2 linked regions of the Notamacropus eugenii genome follow. The protein of the gene in region 1 purifies or fractionates together with the protein of each later gene. This does not show direct contact. Links are inferred from orthologs where the notes say so. Each region holds a gene or a part of one and is shown in the gene's direction. Other genes may lie near its edges.

Region 1 (7,377 bases):
ATTGACCTTCTTCCATAGGACAGCCCTTTCCTGACTGGAAGCCAGTATGTGCCCCTCCCTAGCATGGGTGAGCACCCTCAGTCAATCCCAATGCTCCTCACAGGACATGATTTGAGTTCCTTCAGCACTGGCTGCTTGTCTCTGGATGTTCTCCACTTGGTCATATCCTTCCCCAGAATGCAGAGCAGTATGCCTTGGGTGTGACCCGGGAAAAGGTCAAGGGGGCCCTGCCCTTGTTCTGGATCCTCTGCTTGGGACTTACAGAAAGCCTGGGCCCAAGGGCCTTCCCTCAGCTCCACTCTGGCTAGCACACCAGACAGGGTGACTGCAGTCTTCCTCTTCATGTCCAGCCTCCGTCCACACCCCAGTTACTCAATGCAGAGATTTCTTTGAAGGCCACAGCAAAGGTGATGGGGCTCCTGTGTCTCAGAGTCGTGAATGAAGGTTGCTGAGTGAGTCGGAGTATTCTGATGCTGAGTAGAGAAGAAAGATGCTCATCTGTTCATTCAGGAAATCAGCTAGCAGCCAGCACCCACGCATCAGGCAGTCTGAGTAACAAGATGCTCTGCTTGGAAACCAGGGGGCTCGACGGGAGGGGATCTCAGGGAGAAGCAAAGTCTTGGTGACATGGGCTGGGGATTGCCAGTTCTTTAGTAAGCTGGGAAGCCTGGAAAAGTCCAGACTCACTCTTGGGTCATTCCTTTCTGGTTTAGAACTCTTTCATCTGGTGGAGTTGAAGGCCACACTGTCTCCTCCATTCATCTGCCAAACAGGGGTCCCCAAGATTTTGTGGGCACAGGCTTGGCTCTATCTAACCCCAGAGAGGCACGGGCTGGCTCTATGCCATTTTGCTATGATAATGAGCAGTGCCTCAAGGTTTGTACCATCTCTCTTGAGTACAGAAGCAGGTTTTGACATTTCACAGTGGGAATGGACCCCCTCCAGAAAGGGACTTTCTCCATGTGGGAGTTCACCATATGAAGGAAATCACAGGTCTGGCTCCATCTACCTAAAAAAACCAAGCTGTCACACTCAGGTGACCAGTGCCCAGGCTCCTCCCACCAGAGTCCCAATTTGTTTCTAGCTGGTTAAATGTCAACATTCTGCCGTAGCTGGCATTTCTTTGTATCTAAGCCTGGAGAGGAAGGCCTCGTCCAGCTTGTCTGGCTCCATCTCTCATCTGAGGAGTGGGGAGCGGAGGAAGAGCTGTATAGAAGATACAGTGTGGGCTCCAGACAAGGCTGGAAGGGACCTTAGCCAGTCTGGGTGGGGGTTTGCTTTTCTCTGTCAGGGAACCCCTGAAAATGTCTGGTGACACCTAGGGACCCCTCATTAGAATTGTGGTTGGAAATGCACCAAATAAAATACAAGGATTTCAGAGAAAACCAATGAATTTGGAACATAGATATCTGAAAATGAACAAAACAAGTTCACAGACCCAGGGTAAGAAACCCAAGTCCCTCGATTTAGAGATGAGACAAGTGAGACCTGGAGCTGTGAAGGGATCTGTCCAAGGTCCCCCAGAGAGGACGCCCCTCCAGGGCGGCCAAGCCCTGGTTTTCTGTGAGTGATGCTGGCCTGGCCTCCAGGATCGATGGAGGAGGTAGGTTCCAGGTCTACCCCTGGACTCTTGGGCCTGACCTGCCTCCCACCCCTCTTCATTCTTCCTCTGACCTCTCCTGGCTCAATTCCCTGAATACTCGATGTGCTTCTAGCCAGATTCCAGGGTCCCTTCTCTCCGTGCTTACGGGTCCTGAAGTCCACCCTTCAAGAAATCTCACCCTAAATGGGACTGATCAATAGCTACGTGTTCCCTTCCTCACCAGGTTCTCAGCAGCTGCAGCCGATGGCAGAAAAGGCCCTCCCCCTTCTGCTTAAAGACCTAGAAATGAGCAGAGAAGCCCTTCTCTCTAGGGTAGGCCTTCTCATCACTATCCTAGACACTAACCACTGAGCAAAAGTTCCATCTCACAAGAACAGGAACAAGAATTTTCAGCAATAGTTGAAAAGTCAACCTGTCCACTAAGTCCAGCTCACAGATTCATGGAAATCTTAGGAGCTGGAAGGAACCTTAGAGGTCATAGCAGCCCTCATGGTACAGATGGGGAAACTGAGGCCCAGTGAAGGGAGGTGGCTTCCCCAACGTCTCTGGAGTGTGTCAGAAGGGGAAGAGTTGGTCCAGGACCTCAGACCCACCAAACCATGCTGCTTCAGAGAGGGGCTACTCTACCTTGCTGAGGTCACATCCTGGGTGGAAGCAGGGTAAAGTTCACGTCTTCTCTCAGACCTGGGCTTTTGCCATTACTCTGTGAGTCAAAAGCTGCTGATTTTTTGTTTTCATTCAGACAAATTGATATCCACTGGGGTGTGAGTAACATCTGCTTCACGAATTTCCTCCACTGTAAAATGGGGATGAGGACAGCACCTGCTTCACAGGGTTGTTGTGAGGATGAAATGAAAGAATATTGTAACTGTAAGGCTATCTCGGTGTCTGGCACACAACAGGCACTGTACAGTTATGTATTCTCTTCTCTTTTCCCCCAAAGCAAGGAAAGCATCCTGGGGACTTAATGTGGCTGACCCCTTAGGCTCAGGCTGGAACAATCGATGGAGTTCTACTTGCCTAAGCTTTCATAGCTTAGAACTGTCCTGACTGTGGGATCAAAGAGTTGGGGCTCCTCAGGCTTGGCCCCGCCAGCTAACCAGGCAGTTCATGTCTCCATGGAAAACATGGGGGCCGAGTAACTGCACCCAGCTGACCTCATGCTGTGTTCTTGCTGAGTATCCTTTCCAGGCTTTCACTAAATAAACTTCTTTTCTTATTAACTGGCCTACCAATGTCTCCCTTTGTTCTTGACCTAAGCCCTTGGACAGGTATGAGTCAGGACTGGTGCAGAATGTGGTCTTCTGGCTCATGAAGAAGGGATCTATCCAAGCAAAAGCAGGAGGGATATGATGGCTGACAACATAGCAGGAAAGGAAACGTCCCCCCAAAATACAGGCCAGCTGCTATGAGCGCAGGGCATGAGGGAGGGGAGTCTAATCATGCTCAGGCATCATCTGCCCTTCTGGCCAGACTTCATGTTGTCTCTCACTACTAATAATAACAATTTAAAAATTATAATAGCACTTTCATAGTGCATGAGGGCTCACAAAGCCCTTGCACAGGTGATCTGATTGGAGTCAGAGGCTCTTGGGATGCCCATAATGCTACCCAGCCTCCCAGAGTGTCCTCTCTCCAGACCCTCCTCATCCTTCATGGTCCACCTGAGGTCCTCCACAAAGCTTTTTGGATTTCTATGGCACTTATCATCTGAACCAAATAATTTAGCATTTCACAATACTCTGATTTTTATATCCCCTGTCTGTATGTACTGGCCTTGGCTCCCCCCAAGTCTTGCCCTTCCTTATTCTACCTGTCTCCTCCCTTCCAAGTGCCTTTCTGGGACAGTGCTAAACAAATGCCTCACTACTAACTCAAATACCCTGAGTCATCTTTGAGGCAACGCCAAACTCGCTGGGCTGGATTCCTTCAGCAAGCTATGAGTACATGGTGAGGGAAGTGGGGGGTGGGAGGATGCCAGGCATCTGAAGTTGGGCCATGGGATGCCAGGGCTCAGGGCTGGAGGTCATTTGACCCAACACCTTTTTTACACATGGGAAAATTGGGACCCAGAGTGATTCAGGACAAGATTCCTCCACGGAAGAGATGGGATTTGGAATTCTCTGAGTCCAAATCCAAGGCTCCTTTCTATGCTAGGATGCCCAGGGCAGGAGAAGGAGCCAAGTGAGGCTCTTGGAATGCATCCTATCCTAGCAGGCCAGGTGCAGACACAAGTGTGGATGGCTGTCCCCTCTTCTGCTTACTCCATTGCAGCTGCTGGGCTGGCCCCAGGCTCTCCACCTGACACCTCGAGAGGCTGGATTCCTGTCTAGGGTAGGAGCCCGGTGATGCCCGGGGAGGACCTCTGCCTATGCTGAGGACAGGGCACGCTCTATGCATAACCTGACCCCAAATGCCAAGGATCTCATTCTCATGTTTGTCCACCTTCTTCAAACAGGCCTTCAACTGGCCTTGCTCCAACGTCCATGTCAGTTTCAGGCTTGAAGGCCCGCCCCCATCCCTACACAAGGCCTGGCCTCTAGGAGACTCTTCTTAGTAGATGCTGAGAGATGGAGTGGCGGAGCGAAGATGGGCGGGAAAGGGGCGGAGCCTGAGAGCGGTGGGCGGGGCTCGAGGAGAGAAGGCTTGGTCTTCGAGGACGGAGCGGAGCCTGGCCGGGGGAGGGGCTTCTGGGAAAAGGGGAGGAGTCAGGAATGCTCCCTTCCGCTAGCAGGCGGCGGAAGTTGAGGGGGCGGGATTAAGAGACGGAGCCTACTCTGATAGGTTCAATATCCGGAAGTGATCCTGTTTCCTGGAGACGGCGCGTGGCGGCGGCGGTGGAGGCTGGCTGGGCGCGTGGCAGGCCGGTACGTGTCCGCTGAGGTCTCGGGGCCCCAGTCCGCGGTGCGGGGGCGGGAGGCCGAGGCTCTGGGGCCCTCTTCTCCGAGGCCCGCTCGCGCGTGGGGCCCCCCGCCTGCCCTATTTCTCGTGCCTCTGTTTCCCCATCTGTAAGGAGAGAGGATCGGCCCCTGCCAGCTTCTGGGGCTCAGTTTCCCCGTCTGTAAAAGGAGATGGGACTAGCTGCCCCCCTGCCCCTCCCCCAGCTCCAGCTCGGCGCGGTTACTACGTAACCGGGCTCCAGGCCTCGGGCCTTGCGCCTCCGGGCCTGTTTCCCCGGCTGTCCAAGGAGGAGGGTGGTGGCTTCTCGGGGTTCTGCCACCTCGGGTCCCCCACCCCGTGCCTTGGCACACCCCTTCCTGCCCCGGGGCTCGGGTTCCTCTGGCTCTGAGGCCCGGAGAGGGAGGAGCGTTGAGGTCTGCTGCCTCCCTGCCCCTTCCAGGGCGTGTGCCCAGGATGTTTGTCCTGGTGGAGATGGTGGACACGGTGCGGATCCCACCGTGGCAGTTTGAGAGGAAGCTCAACGACTCCATCGCGGAGGAGCTGAACAAGAAGCTGGCCAACAAGGTGAGCTCCCTTGCCCCCAGACTCCGCGGCCCCGCCTTCCTCCCCTCTGCCCCTCAGAAACTTCGTGTGAGGCCCGAGCGGCCCTCCCCACAGCCTCCTTAGTCAGCAGGCACCCACTGTGTGCCAGGGACCCAGCGAGGGGCCCCAGGCATCCCTGGCCTCCCGGGCTCACCTTCTGGCGGAGGAGACAGCGGGAGGTGAGCAGGAGCACCGGAGTCACTGCAGCACAAGTGAGAGGAGCCTGTCTGAGGGGTCCTGGAGGAAATGGAGTGTGCAGCGTGGAGACCTGAGGAGGCTGGGCTTTCTGGTGCCAAGCAGGGGCTCCCTGCTGGGTCTTGGAGGTGGTGGGGAACGCGTGAGGCTGTGGAGCTGCAGTCAGGCCTGACGTGGGTGGATCCTTGGACTGAGAGGAGGGAGGAAGGAGGCCAGGACGGAGCTGAGCAGGAAGCCTGGCACATAGTAGGTGCTGATCAGCTCTTGTGGATTGGGGGTGAAGCGGGATTCTCATCCAGATGTGAAAAGGGAGGCACAGGGAGTTCCTGATTGTTGCTTTCACCGCCTGGGCTTCTTCCAGGGCAGGCCTTGGAGCCCTCTGCACAGGTCCAGGAGAGCATAAGAGCAGGCCCCCTTGTGACCCTGCCCTCCTGCTCCCTGGCCCAACCTGGCACCCACCTTGGCCTCGGCCTCCTGTATGGGGACCTCTTGGCAAGTCCTGTCCTTGGCTGCCATGGGCAGGCAGGGTGGTCTCAGACGCTCATGGCCAAGGACCCAAGGACACACGGACCTGTGCCTGAGTCAGTATGTCTCTGCAGGTCGTGTATAATGTTGGACTTTGCCTCTGCCTGTATGACATCACCAAGTTAGAAGACGCCTACGTGTTCCCAGGGGATGGTGCATCTCATACCAAAGGTGGGCATCCTTGTTCCCCACCTTACACTGAATTGAGGGTTGGGACAGATCTCAGAGGTCCACCCACTGAGCCTTTACCCTGGGCTGGGACTGTGATCTGAAGTGTCCACCTCTCCTCCAGGACACCCCCAATTGTTGGGGAGCCCCTGGCTACCCTCTCATGACCCCCCCACCCCAGGCACTCAGTGCCATTTCCAAAGCCATGTCCAAAGGATGGCCCATGGGGTGTTGGAGGCAGCTCTCGCAGGCATCGTGGTAAGGCCTGGGTCTGAGACCAGGCTGTGCCACTGAAGGGTTGGGCCCCTCTCCATCTCCCCCTCACTCCCCCCCAGGGCCTCAGTTTCCTCCTTTGTAAAAGAAGGAGTTGGACTCAGGCATCTCTAAGCCCTTCTCTGGCTCTGGTCCAGGCTCATGCGTCCCCCCATATTTTGTCCTAGAGCTTGGGCTTCCCTTGGCTGACCCTTGGAGGTGTCTTCTCCTGGTCACCTTCCTCTGGCCGTGCCCCAGTTGGGCCCTGGGCTGCAGGTGTGCTCTGCCCAGGCCTGGGACCAAGGGACCTTGCCATGCCCTCCCCCGCGACGAGCCACCTTCCCTGCCACCTCCTTTCTTTGCTTTTAAGAATCAGTATGTTATCTGTGTCTGGTGTTTACAGCACAGGAATTTTGGGCATGAGCCAGCCTCCCAGCGCCAGACACACAGACACACATGCGCACAGAGCATGTCAGCACTCTTTCTATAAAGATCTACAACCCAGCCAGGAGACCAGCAGTTTCTGCAGCACTCCTCACCTGTCCCCTTCCACATCTCCATATAAAGGAGGGGGCCAGTTTTCCTTCTCTGTTCTCCAGGGCTTCAAACCCTTCCCCAGGGCTGGCCCTTTCTGGGACTTGGTCCTGGCTAGAACTAAGGCAGGGACTTCTCTGAGCCTTGAGGGGAGGGTTTCTCTGTCTCTCGACTGGGACTGCTCTCTCTCCCCAGAGATCTCTGACATTCTACTCACCTCAGACCCCAGATGTGGCCTCCTTCCTACTCCAGGGCACACTGGTTGGGGTGCATTTTTGGAACCCCGGTGTCCAAGGCCCCTCTACCAAAGCCAGCCTGGGAGCTGAGGCCGAGCCACCTGCTGTCCCACATGGGGAGGCTCCCTGGCTGGTCAGTCTTTTGGGGAACAGGTTTGGGGAGGGGACAGCAGGCCAGATGCAGACATAGCATTGTTAGGCCCCCATGCCTCCAGCACTGATTTAGGCCTCAAGTCTGAGCCAGAAAGTAGCAGAAGGTGATTTCATCCAGCCCTGTCATTTTATGGCTGAGGAAACTGAGTCCTGGAGAAGGACAGAGATGTGCTCCATCCCTGCAGATGCTGGGGGCAGAGCTGGGTACAAGGGCCTGCTGATTCTCTT
Region 2 (7,991 bases), on another chromosome or scaffold:
CCACCCTGGCAGCCCGCCGTCCACCCCGTGCCCAGGGCAGGGATGTGGCTGCCCTCCGAGCTCTTGTCCCCCAGCCGCTCGGGAGCCCCGAGCTCCCAGGAGTGCCAGGACAGGGCAGGGCATCACGCTGCTGCCCCGCACCACACCCCCTTCCAGCAAGGTGCGGACGGGAACTCTGACTCACCTGATGCAACAGCTTCTGCCCAGAGCCCAGTCCCGCCGCCGAGGCTTTTCCTTCCCGGGGAGGACGACGTCACCGGGGCCAGGCCCCGCCGCACCAATCAAGGCCTTCACTGCGTGGAGGAGGGGCTGGCGGCTTTACCTGCCCTTGCAGTGGGTCGCCTCTTGTCCCTGGGCGTCACCGGCGCCTCCCATATTTGTGTGGCCATCAGGAGAGCCTGGACGGTGATGCAATCTGCCTGCCCGCTTCGGGGTGTGACTTCGCCATCTGGGAACTTCCCAGGCTGACTTGGAAAATGTCTCCTGGGTCCTTGTCCTCCTTCCGCCTTTCTCCCACCTTCTCCATTTAGATGGAGCTGGACCCAAACCACCCTCCCCTCTCAGACCCCAGATCTGGAGCTGCGAGGGACCTCAGGGGTCCACCCCCTCATTTTACAGATGGGGAAACTGAGGCATAGAGCGCTTACGGGGCTTTCTCAAAGTCTTAAAGGAGGACCAGGAATTTGAGCCCAGGGCCTCTGGCTCAAAATCCAGGGTTCTTTTCCCTACCCCACGTTGCTCTCCCATGCTGTACTCTTTGCTCAGCTTCAGACATGGCCCTAGGTTCGGAGGCTACCCGACATTGTTTTCTATAAGATTTCTGGAAGTTGCTATGGGCCAGGATCACATGCAAAACCAGCTACAATGTAGCCACTGAGAATACCAGATCCATTCATCTGTCTGACCTGGCCTTCGGCTTCGTCCTCTCTTGTGCCTGAACCACTGACCTCAGAGCCAGCCTGGTACACTTCAACCGTAAGCAGAGAGGGCAGGGATCATGTCTTTGACCTCCCTGTGCGCACACGAGGGTGACAGGTTCGATGAAACGCCCTTAGGTGATTACACCATCTATGAGATGTCACTGGAAGTAAGTCAGTCCTGGGGACTTGTTTTTTTCTGAGTTGTCATGGACCTGACTCAGCTGGATACCACGTTACAATAAGCCTCCTAATTGGCCTGCCTTTTCTCTCCAATTTGTCCTTTGCATCCAAGCCAAATTGATGTCCTTGATATGACCACGAGGCTCAACAAGTCCCAGTGGCTCCCTCTTGTTTCTAGGAAAAAAATCCAAATCTCAAAATTTAGCATTCAAGGTCCTTTCAAGGTCCCTTCAAGGTCCCAATGCCCAAGACCCCAATCTACTCCCGACGGATTTTTCCAGACTGATGTCACTTTACTCCTCCACCACACACTCTAATCTGTAGCCAGACCATACTGTTTCCTTCTATACTTGGCCTTCCATCATATTTTTGGATAGAGGATCTCCTCAGTCTGGAAAAACTCCCTTCTCAACTCCTGTCTTCCAGGAATCCCAAGCTCTCTTCCAGAGCCCACAAGTCACTTCCTAAAGGAAGCTTTTTTCATTTCCCCTCTACCAACTGTTTTATATTTATTCACCTGGGTTCCAGTTTTTATTCCAGTAGAAGATAAACTCCCTGAAGGCAGGTAAAGTTTTGTTTTTCTGTCTTGTCAGCCCTCCTTTATGATGATCAAGTGAGATAATATTTGTAATGAGCTCTGCAAACCTCAAAGTGCTATTTAATGATAGCTATTAATAATTTAAAGGGAAGGAAAGAAGTATTTACATAGTGCCCTTTTAGGTGCCAAATATTGTGCTAAAACTGTTCAGGGTCATGCCATGATTATCCCTATTTTATTTTTTTTCAAGTATTACATATTTAGTATTTTATTTTTCCCCATCACATTTAAAAACAATTTTCAACATTTGTTTTTAAAATTTTGAGTTCCAAATTCTCTCCCTCCCTCCCCAACACCCTCACTGAGAAGGCAAGCAATTTTATTGTCCCCATTTTATAGTTGAAGAAACTGAGGCAAACAGAGGTTAAATGACTTGCCCAGAGTTACAAAGACAGAAAGCATCAGAGGCTGCATTTGAACTTAGGTCTTGATGCTGGACCCAGTGCTCTATCCATGGTGCCACCAACTGTCCCTGTCATTATTATTATTCACAAACACCCTGGATTTGGGCCAGGAAACCTGGGTTTAATTCTTGACTTTGACACTTTAGCTTTGTGACATTGAGCAAGATGGTTAGCCTTCCCAAGCCTCAGTTTCCCCATCTGTAAAAATGGAATAACATCCTACTGAGTGGGATAGGTTTAGTGAAGACTTCTCAGATTGTAATTCTTCTTCCAGGGGTGAGGTAAGGCCTAAAGGCTCAAGGTTACAATATTTTTAGAATAGAATAGTTCCATATAAGGATATAAAACTGTGTAGTGTATTAGGGTCTCAATGATTGGACAAAACTCACATAATTCCTCAATGTCTTCATTTCAAAAAGGATTGGTTAGATTTCGTGTCTAGAATGTAAGATCATATTCTCAGCTAATGAGGATAATGGTCAGTGGGGGGAGGAGGGACTTGTGTTAGGGTCTATATAAATCACTGCCCTTTTCTTTGTCTTTGTCTTTCCTACTCCTACAGGTTAGCCCCGCTTCTCGAGAATCGAATAAATCTCTTTTCTGTCATCACTTTGAGAGGCCTCTGAGTAACTGATTTATGTAGGGACCTGAACCATCCCACACACTACCTTATGGGGTTATTGTGAGGATCAGATGAGATTGTGTTTGTAAAATGTTTTCCATACTTTGAATCTGAATATAAATGCCAGCTATTATTAAAAACCTACTTTTTTTTGTCTAGTCATTTCAGTCTTGTCTCTGTGACCCTATTTGGGGTTTTCTTGGCAAAGATACTGGAGTAGTTTGCCACTTCTTTCTTCAGCTTGAGATGAGGAAACTGAGGCAAAAAGGGTGAAGTGATCTAAGTCACACAGCTAGTAAGTATCTGAGAGCATATTTGAAGTGAATCAGGGTCTGGCCAGTGGTTAAGTGCCTTGTCCAGATTCTAATCCTGACAGTATAAAAGACTCCAGTTCTATCTATCTTTCCACTAGGTCTTGTGTGTTGATGACCCTGAGCCATTAATAAAAAGACTCATCATGTTCAGGATCTGTTTTACGATTCGGTAAAATGAAGATAATAACAGCGCTTGCTCCTCCCCTGTCAAGTGAAATAATGTATGTAAAGTGTAGATATGTGTATATGTAGTAATCTAAGTTACCCTTAAACACTAAATATTAGCAATTACTATTCTCCCCCAAAGTCTGCTTAAGTAGGCAGGAAGAAGTTGCTGTGGCATAACAGATGGAGTGCTGAGGTTAGAAAAGGAAAGACATGCGTTCGAATGATGCCTTATCTGCTGGATCAATATGGTGGAAAAGCCTGATAATTTGAAGTGAGGAATTGGGTTGGACCCGACCACTGCCACCCTTCCCACTCTAAATCTATGGGTCTAAGCTGGGTGACCCTGGGTAAGTCATCTGATTTCTCTGTGCCTCAACCAGCTCCCTCAGATTTGGCATTTAAATCATTTCTGAATGGTTTCTGTCCACTGATTGAGTAATAGATTTTTCATGTAAGAAGGCAAACAAGTGTGCAGAAGACTGTTCCTCTAATAGAATTTTTGTGCTTATGGGAGTAAACCCAGAATTATTGGGGAAAGACAAAGATAAACAGAGGCAAGGTCTTCCATTCAGCCAACGAACCCTTGGTTAGATGACAGCGACTCGAAGTTTGGATAAGATATGGTCCCTGCATTCAATGAGTTTACAATCTAGCAGGGAGAAAAGAAATGTGCACTGACTAGCTAAGTGTTCTTTGGACTTGCAAAAACTCCAAGAAAGTTTGAAACGGACAGAGGATTGAGGCAGACTTGGGTCATATTCCTTTGCTTGGTTGCTTTAATGGGAAGACTTTCTGACCCAAAACACAGGAAGACAGAGTTCAAAATGCAAGTCTATGAACCCATCTCACCTCTCTGAAGGCAATGTTTTCTTTTCTTTCCTGTCCATATTTCTTTCTACCTTCTAATTAATCAATCAAATCATTAAGTGTAGGGATAGTTTTCCTTCTTTGTCTTTGTATCTCTGGCCTGGAAGAAAACTAGGTGCTTAATAAATACTGGATTGGTCAACAAACATTAAGTACCTACTATCCTCCATCCCCACCCCCCACTAGTGCAAAGTATTGGAGTGGGAGGCTCAGTCCACCAATGACTTATTAAGTGCCCGGTAAGCTCTTTGAGGGCTGGGACTGATTTTTGCCTCTTCTCGCTCAGAGCAGATATAAATAGCAATTGTTTCTGTTTTGGCCAGAAACTCTGAGGGCCTTCCCCTTCCAGATGGATTTTTTTTTTGGACTAGCTAAAAGAGGTCATTCTTTGCTCATTTCTTACCTAGCCTTCATCACTGAAGTGCCTCAGACATGCTCTGACATAAGCTTAAAAAGGTCCAGGTCTCTCACTGCATCCTGGGCCATCTCCCGTCCTCCTGATCAGTATCTGACCACTGGACCCAGATGGCTCTGGAGGAGAAAGTGAGTCCCTGCCTCACTGAAATCCAATTCACTTGCATGTCATGGTATCACCTTCTTGATTTCACCTTTAAGAATGAAGGACAACCCCAGTTCCTGCACAGCACCTGGCCCAGGGCAGAGCTTCCTAAATGGTGACTGATTGATATAAACTATCGCTTACTGACTGATCCTGAGTGCCAGACTCCACGGGCATCTGGGGCCAGCAGCAATCTCGGCCTGATTCAGCCCAAACCAGGGGAGTGGCTTAGGCTAGGGGGTCGAGGGCGTTCTCCTGCTACCTCCGCCCATCCCTGCGGCCACAGCGAGGGGGCTGGGCGCTGCTGCTCCGGGCTCGTAGCTAAGGGAGGGCACGGCGTGCTGCCGGGGGCGGCCCCGGCGTGCGTGCGCGCGCGCGGAGGCTGGGCGGCCCCGTGACGTGCACCGGGTGCCCTGCCCCCGGCCGGCGCCGCGGCCTGCAGCTCAGCGTGGACCCGGGATCTCGGAGCCGTGGGAGAGCGCGGAGGAGGAGGGGCCACGATGGAAGTGTGAGTGGGCGGCCCCACGCGTGGGAGGCCCGGGCTGGGGGAGGAGGGCGGAGTGTGCCCGCATGGCTGTGCGGGCGTGTCGGTGCCCACGTGCACTTGTGCGTGCCCGTGCGTGGGCATTCCTGGGCTGGCACGCGCGTGCATTTGTCCGCGCTCCTTAAACCCCTCCTGTGTGCCCCAGGGGCTGGGGAGAGGCGTCCTGGGAGGCTCTCGTGCTGTTCTCAGAGGCAGGGGGTTTAATTCCGAAATGAGCCAGAATCTGCCTTGTTCCTCCCTCTCCTTTGTAATAGCCCAAGAGCTGGTGTGGCCCCTGCAGCCCGCGTGGGTCCGTGGGCGTTCTGTGGTCAGGGAGGAGGGCGTGGGGGGCGCGTCCGTGGGCCTTGCTGCCTCGGAGCTGCAAGTGGGCTGGGGTTATCGTGAAGACGGGGCTGCTGGCTCTGCCCCTTCCACTGGGTATCAGTTACTGCCAATCCCAGTTTTCTGGGGAACCCCAGCTTCATTTCTCCTTCCACCCCCTTGGCATCCGCACTATATGACTGACTGGTCCAGCCGTTCAGCCCTGCGGGCTCCGGCTCTTTGCCACCCCAGAATTAGCCTTTTGGTGTTTTGGACCTTCTCCCTCCCTCTTTGACCTCTTTGGGTAGAGCTGGTAGTAATTTCTTTGGGTTAAGGGGTACGCACAGTTTGGGGGTAACTCCACATGCTTTCCAGAAAGGCTGGACAGTTCTCCATTGTACCCATAGTGTATTCATGTACCTCTTATTTCTTGTTTCCCTGTTTTGGATGTTTGCCAATCGGATGCGTGTGAGGTTGTTACATTTGTTACTGTGTCTGATTCTTCCGGTGACCCCATGGACCATGTTGACGGTATAGACCCTGGCATGGTTTGCCCTTTCCTTCTCCAGTGAATTAAATGGAACTGAAGTTGTTTTAATTTGCATTTTTCCAATTATTGGTGATTTAGAGTCTCTTCCCCCCCTTATGGCTTGGATTTCTTCTGAAAACTTCCAGTTCATTTCCTTTTATTTTGGTTTATCAATTCAGGAATCAATGATCAATTCTTATAACTTTGAATCATTTCTCTATATAACTTAGAAGTGAGGCCTTTATCAGAGAAACTAACTGCAAATATTTTTCTTCCCCATTTACCTGCTTCACTTCTAGTTTTAGCTGCATTGGTTTTGTTTGTGCAAAGACTTTAAGATTACCTGTAACATAGGTTGCCCATCTTACCTTCTGTGACTCTTAATGTAAGAGTACCCTGTGTATATGTATAGTAGGTGAGAACAAGGAATAACCAGCACTATATGTGGGGGTACAGTGGAAAACAGCATTTGGAATCAGGACATGGGGCTGAGTTCTCTGCTTCATCACTTATCTCTGTTATCTTAAAATAGATTACTTAATTTTGTTGTTTTATTGAATTGACTTCACCTCTAAGTTTCCTTTGACCTCCAAATCTGTGATCCTAGTATATACACATGTCCACATACACACACACACACACACACACACACACACACACGACAATTGGGGGTTAAGTGACTTGCCCAGGGTCACACAGCTAGTGTCTGAGGCTGGATTTGAACTCAGGTCCTCATAACTTCAGGGCTGATGTGCTATTCATTGCACTCTGTGTGTGTGTGTGTGTGTAGAGGTATTATATATATGTATGTATATATTTAAATATTTTATTTTTTCCAATTATGTAAATAATTTTTAACATTTAAAACAAATTTTAGTTCCAAATTCTCTCCCTACTTACCCTTCCTTTTCCCTGAGAAGGCAAGCAATTTGATAGAGACTTTGCACTTGTGCAAAACATTTCCATATTAGCCAGGTTGCAAAAGAAAACACAGATCAAAAAACCCCGAGAAAAAATGTAAAAAGTCTGCTTTGGTCTCATTCAGACTCCGTCAGTTCTTTCTCGAGCCAGACGGCCTTTTTCATCATAAGTCCTTTGGAAATGTCTTGGGTCATTTGGGTCATTGCTGAGAGTATATGTGTAATGCTAAGTCATTCACAGTTGATCCTTGTACGATATTGCTGTTAATGTAGACACTGTGGAATGTATATTTTAAAATGTATATTTAAAAAATTTAATATTAAAAATAACAAAAATATACTTTTTTTCCCCTCCCATCATTCTCTTCCATCAGGAAAAAAAAAAGAAAAAATGAAAACAAAACCCACGTAACAAATCAGCAGTCATTCAAAACAATCCCCACATTGTCCATCTGCAGCCTGCTTCCATCCTCTTTGTCAGGAGGTGGGTAGTGTTTTTCAACGTCTGGAATCCTGGGCTATTGTTGTTTTGAGCAGAATTCTTACGTCTTTCAAAGTTGTTTAGCAGTGAGGGGTGAGGAAGAGTGAGGAGTCACCAAGGTGATGGAGGGGCCTTTGACAGGAATGCAGAGTGTAGGAGAGGGGAAGATTTGGGAGGAAAGATGATGAGTTCAGTTTTGTTCTTGTGGAGTTGGAGGTGCCCTCAAGACATTGAGGTCCATGAGACAGAAGGAGGCCTCAGGCTGAGTGTTGGGTGTCAGTTACAGGAGAAAGAGGGGGTGACAAGGCTTGGGTACCTTTGGGATCGAGTGCCCACAAATCCATCTCTGTGGATGGAAACATGATCTGATGGGTTGTGACTTTTTTTCCCTTTTCCGGGAATATTCCTTAAATGGATCAATTATTGTCTCATTTAGCAAGAAAGAGAAAGTGATACTCATCTAGCTGTTTCTTAGAATTGGAGTTTCTAGCTTCTCACTGTTCTCTAGGGTGAGTGTCATTGGTGGAAGGACCCCTTTGGTAGAGTGAGTTGAGTCTTGGTTTGAATCATGCCTCAAATGCTTAC

Evidence for each region. The genes of interacting proteins can lie anywhere in the genome.
Region 2: the proteins of POLR3H (region 1) and CRCP purify together in Homo sapiens (affinity purification with mass spectrometry; 4 studies listed by BioGRID and IntAct, with this or other methods). This does not show direct contact. The link is inferred for Notamacropus eugenii from reciprocal best matches to the Homo sapiens genes POLR3H and CRCP.

What each region holds. Positions count from the first base shown.
Region 1 is NC_092874.1:300,584,742-300,592,118, reverse strand, and holds the start of POLR3H (DNA-directed RNA polymerase III subunit RPC8), read left to right. Parts: upstream 1-4,377; 5' UTR 4,378-4,470; intron 4,471-4,482; exon of another isoform or gene 4,483-4,611; intron 4,612-4,943; 5' UTR 4,944-4,957; coding exon 4,958-5,068; intron 5,069-5,880; coding exon 5,881-5,977; intron 5,978-7,377.
Region 2 is NC_092873.1:43,130,575-43,138,565, reverse strand, and holds the start of CRCP (DNA-directed RNA polymerase III subunit RPC9), read left to right. Parts: upstream 1-4,980; 5' UTR 4,981-5,132; coding exon 5,133-5,140; intron 5,141-7,299; exon of another isoform or gene 7,300-7,409; intron 7,410-7,991. UniProt on the Homo sapiens protein: DNA-dependent RNA polymerase catalyzes the transcription of DNA into RNA using the four ribonucleoside triphosphates as substrates.